Coturnix japonica: one gene and its partner. The protein of the gene in region 1 interacts with the protein of each later gene in a pairwise test. Links are inferred from orthologs where the notes say so. Each region holds a gene or a part of one and is shown in the gene's direction. Other genes may lie near its edges.

Region 1 (6,517 bases):
CACGGGGGGCACCGGGGGGGGGCTGCGGGGCGGCTGTAGCACCGGGGCTGCCGCCGTCGGGCCGCGGGGCGGTGGTGCGGGGCTGCGGGCGGCGATAAGGCGGCTCCTCCCGGGGCGGGGTGTGCGGAACTGGGGCTCGGCCGCCGTGATGCCGCCCGTCGGAACCACCCCGGGCTGCTCCGGGACCGGCCGCTGCTGTTCGGCCTCGGCGTTTCTCCGGGGCTCGGCCCGACTCGTTCCCGGCGTTGGGCAGCGTCAATGACCGCGTTGATTCGGAGTCGTGCAGGTGGCGGCCCCACCACCAGCACCGTGTGTCGGTAGGGAGTAAATCCCGGCTGGCGGCACAGCTGTGTCCCCCCGTGTCACCCCATCCCCGGCACGGGGCGGCTGTCCGGGATCGGCCCGTCGGGGCGCCCCGGTTGTCCCAGCGCTGCGTCCCGGACTGTGCCCGGCCCAAGGGTAATCCCACAGCACCGAGGGATTACGGCTGGCGCTGCCCTGGAGGATTAAGGGATTTCTCTAAGCGGGGTTGATGCGGGCTCTGCAAAGCGGCTTGTGCTGGGGGCCCGCGGCTGGGGCAGCGCCGGGGTGGGCTGGGGGTGGGCAGCCCATTGCCAGCCCTGCTGTCTGGGTAGGACCCGGCAGGTGCCTTAGTATGGGGTCAGTGATGCGCTTTGGAGGTGGTGCAGCCCTGCAGCAGGCAGCGGGGGCTGTGGGGACACGAGGGGGTGAAGCTCTGTGCATAGTGGGGCTGGGGTGAGCACCAGGTAGTGTGGGACTGGGGGCAGACTGAGCTCAGGGGGTGGGGATAGTGGGGCTGCAGAGCATGCAGTGTTGTGAGAAAGGCTGTTAGCCAAGGTAGAGCAGAGCAGAGCGTGACGAGCAGCACTGCTGACACACAGAAATTGCATGGAGGCTCAAGCAGAGCCACACATCCCTGAGCTGTTGTTTCAGCCCACCCATGGCTCTGGGTGCACAGCACAGTGCCCTGAGCTGGGGCTGCAATGTGGAAGCAGAGACTGAGCCACAGTTGGTGCAGCTGTGATTATTGCAGCCCATTTCAAGTGCCCGTGGCTGCCCTCCCTGCACAGGCTCCCCCTGGCCCAGCCCTGTGTCCCTGCAGCTCCTCACACCTTTCACCTCTGCAGTGAGGAGGAGGCAGAAGCTGTTTGCTTCCAAGGGAAGGGGAAGCAGCACAACTCAGTCATGGAGGTGATGAGCACCTGTGAGCAGCCGTTCCCATCTCCTTCCCATCCATCCACAGCTGCTCCCAACACCAGGGTAACTCTTGCCTGTCCCCAGCCATGCCCCCAAGGTCCTGTGCCCATTCCCATAGCCCTTCCCCATCTGGATGCTATCTGCCCACCCTGGGGGTTCTCCAGCTCAGCCCATTGCAGCAGGCTCCCAGCAGCAGTCAGGACCCAGTACCAGGTGCCGTCTGCAGGACACGGCCTCATGCCCCGACAGGCTCTGCAGTCTGTTACTCACGGACGTGCCCCACGCTGGGGAATCACTCCTGCTCGGAGGAAGGGAAGGAGCTGTCTGTCCGGTTTGGGCTCCCTCGCTGCCTGTGGGGCTGGCAGGTTGGGGGCCGGGTGCGGTGGGGCTGAGTGCTGCCCCCAGCCCTGCTGGAGGCCCATAGCTCGGGCAGAGCCCCAGCTCCTGCTGTAGGAGCATCCCGGCTGCCAGGGCCTGGAGAATCATCTCCATCACAGCCATGATGTGCCAGCTCCAGGCTGCCCGCTCTGCATTCCCAGGTGCCTGAATCCATTGTGGCCATACTGGGGAGCAGCGTTCCCCTGTTCCCCACAACTGGGGGCTCCCCACGCCAGCTCCAGCCCGTTGTGTTTCTTTATGCACCTTCCTTTTATGCAGGGAAGGTTGCTACGCAACCAGCGGCTCTTGATGCTTAAAGCTCTAATACGGTGGGATAAAACCGCTCTAAAAATACCCCCGCCGTCAGCCACCCAGGGGCCGGGGCATGCAGGGGGGCAGAGGGGGGGCAGGCAGCCTGATACCAGGGGTGCTGTTGGGAACTTCCCTACTCTACGTCCTCCAAGTGGCTTTGAGTGCCCAGGAACACAGCAGCGTTCGGTGCCGGCACGGAGCGGGATTGGCTGCGACCGGCGCGTGGGCTCCTGCTGCTGGAGCCTCCCGCTGCCAGAGCCGCCTTCCCCTGCTCCAGGAGGAGCGGGGACACCCGGGGCAGCCCCAGCTGCAGGGAGCTGCTGTGCGGTGCCCTCCTGCCCTCAGCCTGCCCCGGGGGAGCCGGCACTGCGCAGCATGGGGACGGTCAGCGAGCTCTGCGCCTCCAGCTTCCAGGCCTTCCTCTGCCCCTCCGTGGCCACCACGGCAGGTAGGTGCTTTGTGCCCCATCCCTGTCCCCCCCAGCAGACGAGGTGCCCGTAGCTCTGGCTCCATATGGCTCATGCTGACAGCAGCACACAGTCCCAGTTGTCTTGCTGTCTCCTTCCACCGTGCGCTGCCAGGCTTGGGCCCCCCTGGGCTCTGGGTGCAGCTTGTATTGCACCACATTGCTGGGATGGGGAGCCCATGGGAGCACAGTGGGTTCACGTGGCACAGTGAGATGTGTCCAGCAGCTCCTTGCTCTCTTACCCCAGCGCTGCTGCGGGTGATGCCCTCACTGCTGCCCTACTCGGAGCAGGAAGGAGCATGCGTGGCTGTGAGCACAGCTCCAGCCCACGTCCTCCAGACAAAACCTGGCTGGGGCACCCTGACGCCTGCTGTGTCACAGCTGCCACCGTGGGCTGGCAGTGCCTGTGAGCTGCTGTTGTCTGTCTGCAGGCTCCTGCTCCCGAGCTGAGACCTGGGAATAGAGAGTAAGCAAGGAGCACATGGGGTGCACTCCTGGCACTCTTGCAGGACGTGGGGCTGTAGGAAGGCATAGCACAGTGAGGATGGATGTGGCTCCGTTGTGTGCCCCTGCTGTACTCCAGCCCCGCAGCCAGGATGGGCTCTGTGCTTAGGGGGTGCAGGAGCCTGGAACTGGTGGGCTGGGTTCCTTGCTGGGGGCAGGGCTGCTCCAAGGGGCTGAGAACCCCCGGCAGCTCTCAGCTATGGGGTGGGGTTGGGGGATTCTATCTTGGAGCCGCCCTATGCTGTGCTCCTGACGCACCTCATCTGTCTGTGGGGAAGAACAGGGCTGACGCAACCCAGGATGTGCACACAGCACAGTGAAAACAGGATGTGGTGCACTGGGGCAGCGGCAGGAAGTTTCTTGGGGCCCCTCAGCAACCCCCCCCCCCAGCAGTGGGGTGCAGCAGGAGCCCCATGGTGGAACCCACAAGCAATGCCCTGTGGTCAGCAGCCCCTGCCCTGGGCTGGGGCATCCCTGCGGTCTGTTCAGCTCTGCTTGTGGATGGAGCTGTGCAGCAGGAGGGCTGTGTCCCTGCAGCACAGCGTTCAGCTGGAAGGCCAATGTGAGCCTCTTTTTAGCTCCTTCTTCCCTGAGCTTTCCTGGGAGATGCTCTGGATGCTGTTTTTCCATCACACGCTGTGGAGCAGGATTTAGCTGAGTCAATGTGCCGGAGCTCTTGTGGTCTCCCCGGGCAGCTGCAGCGGGACAGGACCTTGCTGAGGGCTGTGCTGCTGCAGGCACGGCCCTATTGCAGGGAATGAGAGCAGGTGGTCCTTACAGCCTATACAGGCCCTGAACCCACACATGGGGGGGGGGATATGGCTGGACAGTGCCAGATCTTCAGGGCAGGGTTGGGGCTCTGGATGGGGTGGGAGAGGGGTCCCTGGTGTCACCGCCCTGAGCTTGGGACGTGCTGAGCCGCATGCATCCTGGCAGCCCCCGAGGAAGGAAGGGCCGGGCCAGCTCCAGTGCCTGCAAGGATGGGTGGGCGGCAGTGACCCTGGGGGCCGAGGAGGGGGCGCGGGGCTCTGGCTGCACAGGAACCGGGTGTTGCTGGTGCCAGTTCTCAGCCGGGCTGCGATGACGCCTGGCACAGCGCTGAGCTCATTGGCCTGGAGCTGCCCTGACTCACCCAGGAAGCTCTGGGAGGGGGCAGCTGTTGGCACCCCAAAGAGCAGCACCTCTGCAGCACTGTGCAGACGTGGGCAGCGGGACACAGCCCAGCAGGATGGTCCTCGGGGTGCAGGGCAGCGGTGAGCAGATGGGCCTGCGTGGGGCAGTGGGTGGGAAGGAGGCACGTGGGGCTGAATGCGATGCAGAGGGGCTTTGTGTCTGTTCAAGGCATGGTGTGAGCGGGGTATTTGCTCCTTGAATCCAGGATGGAGCCTTGCCATGCTCCTCACTGCCCTGGGGGTGAGGCAGCAGCTCCCCTGCATTGCTCTGCAGAGGTTGGGGGGATGGCTCAGAGTATTGGTGCTCTGTGGTTTGTGCTGAGAATCCTTGCACCCAGCATGGCAGCCTGGGATGATAGCCTGGCATGGGATGTTAGCCTGGCATGGGATGATAGCCTGGCATGGCTGCTGGATTTGGTGTTCTGCTCCAGCCCCCTCTTGCAGCCTTGTGCAGGCTCAGAGGTTGCTGCAGCTCCACTCGGTGCTATGGAAGGGTTAACGCCTGCGTCCTTCGCTGAGAAAAGCTCTGCGTCTGGGGTTTCTCTTCCTCCTGCTGCTGCTGACACGGCTGGGCCATGTCACGAGTGCTCTCCCAGCACAGCATCAGGCAGGCTTGGGGGGGGGCTGGGCTTTGTGGCTGCTATGAGTCCCTATGAGCCCCTTGCCCACACTGCCCGGGGGTGGGCAGAGGCTGTGTTCCCCCAGGGCTCTGTGCACCCACCGTGTGCCAGCACCGCTCTGTCGCTGCTGCAGCCTCCCACCCATCCACCCACCCTCTGTGGGCCTGGGAGGGCTGCGGTCTGGCACGGAATTTCACCTCCCACGCAGCCCCACGCTGCAGCTCCCAGCAAGCTGCATCCTGCAGGGTGCTGGACACAACTGGACCGGGGAGGCCGTGCTCCGGTGGGACCGACTCCATTCCAGTGCTAGGGAGGGTTTGTGCAGCCTACGGAGCAATGCTTCTGGCATTGTTGGCATAGATAGAGTTCAGAACCTGGTGCTGTAATATTGGGAAGTGTTCCATCGAGTCCAGAGGGATCGTGTCGCAAGCCGAGGCTGCTGCTGACCTTTGCAGAGGGGATTTCTCTAAAGGAGGAACCTCAGCAGAGAAGGCGAGTGGAATGAGGAAAGTGCTGAGCTGGGACATTCGGTTCGTGTGAGCGCAGCCACCCCAGAGGCACCGTGAGCCCTGGAGAGGAGGGGGGAACTACGCTGGGAACGGAGAGCAGACGGTGCTGGGGTGTGAGAGAGGGGATGGAGGGTCCTGGCTGTTGGGTTGCCAAGGAGTGACAGACTGAGGTGGACCTGGGGCAATGCAGGGTGGGATGGAGGGGGCGGTGGGCACCTGGGGACAGGTGGGGGGAGGATGGTGTGGGCTGCTTTGTGGTGCGGGCACCGATCTTGGAGCCTTGGTCGTGGCCTTGTTGTAGGATGTGAGCTGGAAGGTGATGGTAGGGCAGGGGTAGGCGGGGGCTGTGGGGGTGACCTTGGGAACAGGAGCAGCGGGTGCCACGTAACCGCAGAGCGGGAGGTCACGGGCTGGGGAGCTGCAGGAATGTTACCCATGAGCTGCAGTGTGAGGGGGGGCAATGGGAGCGTGTGGCTCAGCCCCGGCTGCTGTGGGCCAAGCAGGGCAGCCAGGTGTCCCCCCGTGCAGTGATGTGTGTTGGGGTGCATTGGTTCACCCCTGTTCCAGCACAGAGTAGGCACCAAGGGTGGCCTGGAGCCAGCTCTCTCCAGGGTTTACCCGTTGTGGATGAACATTGCTTGGGTGGCTCTAAGTCCCATTGTGGTGCCATGGCCCCGGTGAGCATAGGGGCCAGGGGCTGCAGTGGCACCAGGGGCTGGGCCAGAACTCACTTCCTCAGCTTATATCAGCAGGAATGTGGGGGCCAGGCTCCCCCCAGCCGGGGAGCACAGTGTCCATTGCATTCCTTGCGTGCTGCTGGGGGTGCTGGGCTGTGTGCAAGGCTGGGGCTCACTGGATCCTCCAGCAGCACCACGTGCCAGCTGCTGGCAGGAGCCTGGAGTGAGTGATTCCTTGTGCTGTCCCTGTCCCTTACAGTGCCCAGTGACCTGACCCCAGAGGAGTGCCAGGAGCTGGAGAACATCCGCCGCCGCAAGCAGGAGCTGCTGGCTGACATTCAGGTACAGCATTCAGGGCTGCTGCATGCACACCCACATCCCCATCCCTGGCTGTCCCAGGTGAGGCCTCTTGCTTGAGCCCAACCCCATCCAAGGACCCTCACCTCACTCCTGGCAGGAGGGGAGGAAGGAAGAGAGGCTGCTTTGGATGGGGCTGCCCCGCAGCTGAAGTGTCCATGCAGGAGCTGTGGTCTGGCACTGTGCTCCCATCCCCTGTCCCCTTTCCTTGCCAGCTCCTGCTCCTTTCTGCCTGCAAAGACTCTTGTGGAATTTCTGGGGCAGAAAATTGGAGCTGCTGGGAATGCAGGGCAGGGAGAGCTGG
Region 2 (5,795 bases), on another chromosome or scaffold:
GAGAAAGACAGACCTTCACCAAGCCTTTAAGACAGGAAAAAGCTTGCTTGCTAACATAGCGAGGGGAAGGTGTAGGTCCTGTAAGTATAGCCCATGCGTGATGGAGAAACCGGAGAGCTGCTTTTCAGTTTTGAATCATTCTCAAGCAGACAGACTTTCATTTTCGATGATTTTTAAAGGTCTGGCTCCGTGCCTCACAGGGAGATGAAAAGCAAACACATGAACATTCACAGAGATATCAAGCACTGTGGCTGACACAGGTGCTAGTTCCTCTGCAGGGAAGCGTGGGAAAGCTATAATGTTGCATTTCTCTATCATTATTGTCACATCCTGCTGTGCTCAGTGGTTTTGTAGTGAGTTGTAACTAAACTCAGTGGGTTAGCAACTGCAATGCAGGACCTACTTTCTCGCATGAAGCACAAGAAGCTGGAAGTCTCCCACTTTTGCAGTTTGGTCGCTGCAGGTAGGAGGCAAACCACTTCATTACACTACTGCCAAATGGGTAATGCTAGCCAGGGGACTTCACTAAAGCACCAAAGAGAAAAGGAACAGCTCCTCTGTCCTAAATGGTGTATGATAAACAGATTCCTGCTTAGCCTAGAACAGGTGCAACAGGACATTTGCACCAGTGACAGAAGGAGGCTGCAATCAGCGACTGGAACAGACCCTTCAAGGCTTTGTGTACTTATATCTACCTTTCTATAAATATATATTTTTAAATAGATAGATGTATATATAAAACTAGAGATGATGCAGGCAGACCCTGCAAGGCTACTGTTATTGATGTGTATGTATATACATCCATATATACCTGTACATAAATAGATAGATACACACATTTTTTCATGGAGGAAGAGCCTCAGTGTCTCAGCCAATCCTAGCCCTCTTGATGGTTGTCTACGTTGATGGGAATTACCCATAACACCAAAGTTTGAGAAGAAACAGCCACAACCAAGTGCTATGTACCGCCCTGCCTTGCTGTGCTCTGTGGTGCTCATTTTCACTCTGTGCATGGCAGCCTCACTGTTACAGGCAGATGATGCAAGCCTGCCAAGAGTCCTCCAGAGATACTGGGCACAGGAAGATGTCCTTCCACTTTACAAGAAGAACATAATTAGCAAAGCAGCAAAGGAGGGTTGTGGCCACCAGTCTGCAAGACCCATCTCTGCTGTTGAACTCCCATCCTATTTATAGCAATGAGACAGCAGCAGCTAGCTTTGACACTTCCCCTTCAGCTCTATTTATAAATCCCAGCTTGCAAACAGGAGCATGGTCTTTGTGCATCCCTCTGCTTGCCATGAGAAGTGAATCTGTCCCTAGCAGAGCACAGCTGGGAGCAGTGAACCCTTAGCAGTGTGAATCTGACACTGAGACAAATGGATGGCAAGGGCAGATGGAGAAGACACTGCAGGGTCGCTGCCTGGGCCCTGCTAGCACCACGTCAAACAGAAAAGCTGGGGCTGACTGTGAGGAGGCAGACAAAAGCAGAAGTCCCGTTTGCTTCCTTTGAAAGTCACCCTATATCGCATACACGCTGATCCACCCACAGAGCAGTGAATAATTTCCTTCTGCAGTGGAATGAAAAGAAGCAGTGAGCTTTTCTGCTGCTGCAGTCCCCTAGCATTAGGGTGTGTTTTACACCCTTGCTGCCGGGAAAAAAAGGACTGTTAGCGTTATAAGGGCACCAAAATTCAGCCAACAAAACGAACCCTTTAGTACAAAACTCATTATCAAACAGAGCTGGGCTTATATGGACTGTGTTTCTGGGATCAGGGAGGTATTTTTAATCCTGTTGTAATTGGAAACTTACTCCTTTTTATGGAATGAGCCTGTATGTATGAACCCACTATCTCCAGCAATCCAAGCACAGGGAGCTCGGAGGGCCTCAGTCTGTGGCTAATCTCATGGCTTATACAGCTCCCTTCTTGGCCTAAGTGAGTACAAAGGGCACATGTCCGCACACATGCAGTTACGGGCTTTCCTTCCATGAGAAGAAGATGGCTGCCAGTGGGAGTCCGACTATGAGACAGGCAAGAGGTGCACCCACTATGAAACCCAGCCAGAGCTAGCTTGTGTGAACACTGAGGGTGTTCCTTCTGCACCTGCTCCCAGAGCCCAATCACCCATGGAGTGCCCACGGAGATGCAGTGGGTATGGTCACAGACAGGGATGGAGCTGCAGACCCATCACAGAATGGCACAGCAAGGCAGAGTCCTGGGCTCTGAAACCATGACCAGGTGAGCACAGAGTCACCTTTTCCTGTCTGCATAGAGAGGTGATGGCCTCCAGAGCACTGCTGGGGAGCTCAGCCCTGAGGTGGTCACCTCTTAAGGCTGCAGATCTTCACACCCTGACACCCTGCACTCTGCTGCTACCAGCGCACCTCCAAGCTCACAGAACAGCCAGGCATCAAACCCCAGCGTGCAGCTGTCACAAAATGACACCTATTAATCTCCTTTAGCATCTGATCTTTCTGGTCGGTGTCACCCTTGACTCGTCTGGTGCCTCACAGCGGCTGACAAGCTGCAAACACATCCTTGTGCCTCAGGAGCAGCTCTGAGCAGCCATATTTACCGCTTGGGGTTTGGTGCTTTCTGTGCATTTCCCTTGCTGCTTCCTTCCCACCATGAGCTGCTCAGTCTGGCAGGTTCTCAGGACAGGCTGATGATGCTCTGCAGCACTGACAGAACCAGGGAGAAGGTGTCTGATTGCTCACAGTGGCATAAGAGCCATTTCAAAACCAGTGACATGTCCTTCTGATGTATCTATTATTGCTGAAAATTGAAACGTTCATTGTTCCTCCTCTTTTTTCCTCTTTTCTCACATCCCCAAATACATCAATGTTGGAAGGCCACAACCCTGTTGGGTTTCACTTCAGGACTGAGCCTTTCTGCATTACGTACGTACACGAATATAGATGGAGAAGAATCTGGATAAATATCACACCAGTCTACATAGCGGTTCAGCTGAAGTTGCACTGATGCAGTGCCAGCTGCTGCTCTGCTGACGTTCATGTTCAGCCCAAAAGCTCTGTTTAGCTGGATACCAGTGTATTTTTCTAAGAGCATGCGAGCTGTCAGTTGGGGTCATGCTCGCAGGACCCAACCTGCTTTGGGGTGGAGACATCCACTCAGTGCCACCATCTCTGCAGACATTTTCTGTGAGATTTGGAGGCTTCCTTTCCTGAGGCCGCTGTCATAGGGATGCCTTTTCTCTTGCAGAAAATGCCACGTGACTGCTGCCTCTGTCTGCCAGCAATGACCTGGGTGCTGCTGCTGCTGACAACAGGTGAACCCCACCTGCCCTTCCTCCCTACCTTCCCCCAACACCTCATGTGGTCACTGAAATGTGCTGGAGTGGGGAAATACCCATCACTGCACTACATGTGGCACTGAGAGCCATACAGGTGTGGGTGCCTGCTGCTGGGAGCCCCACAGCTGCCTCTGGTGCTGGTCCTCCATTTCTAACTCATCTTCTCCACATTCCAGCCTTTGCTGCAGAGTGTCCCAAGATCAAGGTGGGGACATGCAAGAACTGCATCCAGTCTGGCCCTGGCTGCGCCTGGTGCAAGAAGCTGGTAGGTCCCCGTATCCTCACATGCTATCAGCAAAAGGGCAGTGAGAGCCATCCTGCCAGTGGGCAGTCAGTCCTGGTAGGACTTTGTGTCCTCCCTGCTGGATGAGACCAGAACTTCAGCCTTTACTTTCTCCGCCAATATCCCAGAGCCCCAGCAGAGCTGGTTTGGGAGTTGGGTCATTGGAGTTGTGTGTTTACTTACCTCCTGCCCCCCTAATTTTTCTGTTTGATGTTGCAACACTCAGGATTTCACCAAAGCCGGTGAGCCAGACTCCAACCGCTGTGACACTGTAGAGCAGCTGCAGCAGAGGGGATGCCCAGAGAACGAGATTGAGTTTCCAGTCAATGAGATCAAAAGGACACAGGACAGTGCATTCAGCAATAAGATACAGCTGACTCCCCAGGAGGTGCATCTGAAGCTGAGGATAAGTATGATTCCTGTGTTGTGATAATAACCTTCTGCCCATCCCCACACTCAGCTGGGTAGCAGCTGAAGCTGGCCAACATTTGTTGCACATGTTTTTTACCCTTTCTTCAAAACTGTTGTCAGGAGGTGATCCTGCAGGAAACCTGAGGGACCTCACAGGAGCTGTAAAGTCTTGAAGGAAAAGCTCTTGTGAAGATGTGAGGGTGGGGGATGCTTCAGGGGAGATAAACATGGAGCCTGTAGCTGTGCTGGGGTGTGGTGGCATGTCAAAGGTTTCCTCTCCATTTTCTCCCAAAGAAAGATCCCAGTGTGGGGTGGGCAATGAGGCAGGATATGATCCACAGCACAGTGGCTGAACCTGGTGTCTCTATCCCACAGGGGAGCCTGCTGAATTTCACGTGAAGTTTCGCCGCGCCACAGGTTACCCCATTGATATCTACTACCTCATGGACCTCTCCTATTCCATGCTAGATGACCTAGAGAATGTGAAGAAGCTAGGAGGAGAGCTGCTTAGAGCCCTGGAGAACACCACACCCTCTCGCCGCATAGGTGAGCCTGTCTGAAGCACAGGGCCAGCTGTTTGCTGGGAAGAGTAGTGAGGCCAGTGGACAAAATAAGATGCAGGATGCAGGCAGTGTGAGGCAGTGTACTGGAGCAAGGGATGTGGACAGGTACTTGGCTCCTCATGCAGGAACCAGGAGGCTGTCCATGCCCGGTGCCATCAGAACACTTGCCAACCTCTTCCATCTCTAACAATGCCCATGGTCCTGGGCGTCCTAGGTTTTGGTTCCTTTGTGGACAAGACAGTACTGCCTTTTGTCAACACACACCCTGAGAAGCTGAAGAACCCTTGCCCCAACAAGGACAGTAATTGCCAGCCCCCCTTTGCCTTCAAACACATCCTCTCACTGACCGACAATGCTGAGAAGTTTGAGAGTGAAGTGGGGAAGCAGTTCATCTCAGGGAACCTGGATGCCCCAGAAGGAGGGCTGGATGCCATGATGCAGGCAGCAGTGTGTGGAGTGAGTACCCAAAAGGGCAGCCTCATTTCTTCCCCATTCCCTTCACCTGCAGGCATGATGGCTGCTGCCTCTGCTCACGGCTCCTCCAGCAGGAGCTGGTTCTGCCCCTCCTGGAGCAGGTTGTGGATGGCTATCATGTAGCTTCAGGCCCGTAATGCACGTAGAAGTCCTGATTTGGCTGGATACAGGAAAGTGTCTCACCTGTGGGCTTCCTGACTTGAGTCCCCAGTAACAGTCCTCCATGCCCTCCAGCCCTTGTGGCTGATGTGACTCAGCAACTGCACAGTGCTCAGGCAGCATCACCACAGTCCCATTTGGGGACGAGTGTCAGTGCTGTCCATACCATTACAGGACTTGATTGGCTGGCGCAATGTGACCCGACTGCTGGTGTACGCAACTGATGATGGCTTCCACTTTGCTGGTGATGGCAAGCTTGGGGGCATTTTGACCCCCAACGATGGCCAGTGCCACTTGGAGGACAACATGTACAAAAAGAGCAATGAGTTTGTAAGTACTCTGGCATTGTTCCCAGGTTTGCTCAGTGGCTCTGCACCCTGAGCCTGGGGGCAGCTCCACGGCAATTGCTTTCAGCCCTCAGGAGGGCCCTGGGGACAGTCCAGGGCAGGGGGTGTGATGGATGGAGGCAGAGATGCTGCTGCCTCAGGTGCCTCTGAGTAGTGAAAACTCCTCCGTATCAGGTGTTGTCTTGTTTGGTGTGTTCCACAAGGTCTTCCTTACAGCGACTATCAGCCTGCTCTTCTCACACAGGA

Evidence for each region.
Region 2: the proteins of CYTH1 (region 1) and ITGB2 interact in a two-hybrid assay, tested with the Homo sapiens proteins (2 studies listed by BioGRID). The link is inferred for Coturnix japonica from reciprocal best matches to the Homo sapiens genes CYTH1 and ITGB2.

What each region holds. Positions count from the first base shown.
Region 1 is NC_029533.1:4,597,532-4,604,048, reverse strand, and holds the start of CYTH1 (cytohesin-1), read left to right. Parts: upstream 1-2,152; 5' UTR 2,153-2,283; coding exon 2,284-2,356; intron 2,357-3,826; exon of another isoform or gene 3,827-4,106; coding exon of another isoform or gene 4,107-4,131; intron 4,132-5,215; exon of another isoform or gene 5,216-5,290; intron 5,291-6,115; coding exon 6,116-6,198; intron 6,199-6,517. UniProt on the Homo sapiens protein: Promotes guanine-nucleotide exchange on ARF1, ARF5 and ARF6. Promotes the activation of ARF factors through replacement of GDP with GTP.
Region 2 is NC_029522.1:2,235,426-2,241,220, forward strand, and holds part of ITGB2 (integrin beta-2), read left to right. Parts: intron 1-3,221; 5' UTR 3,222-3,224; coding exon 3,225-3,288; intron 3,289-3,488; coding exon 3,489-3,577; intron 3,578-3,821; coding exon 3,822-4,005; intron 4,006-4,381; coding exon 4,382-4,552; intron 4,553-4,783; coding exon 4,784-5,025; intron 5,026-5,376; coding exon 5,377-5,532; intron 5,533-5,793; coding exon 5,794-5,795.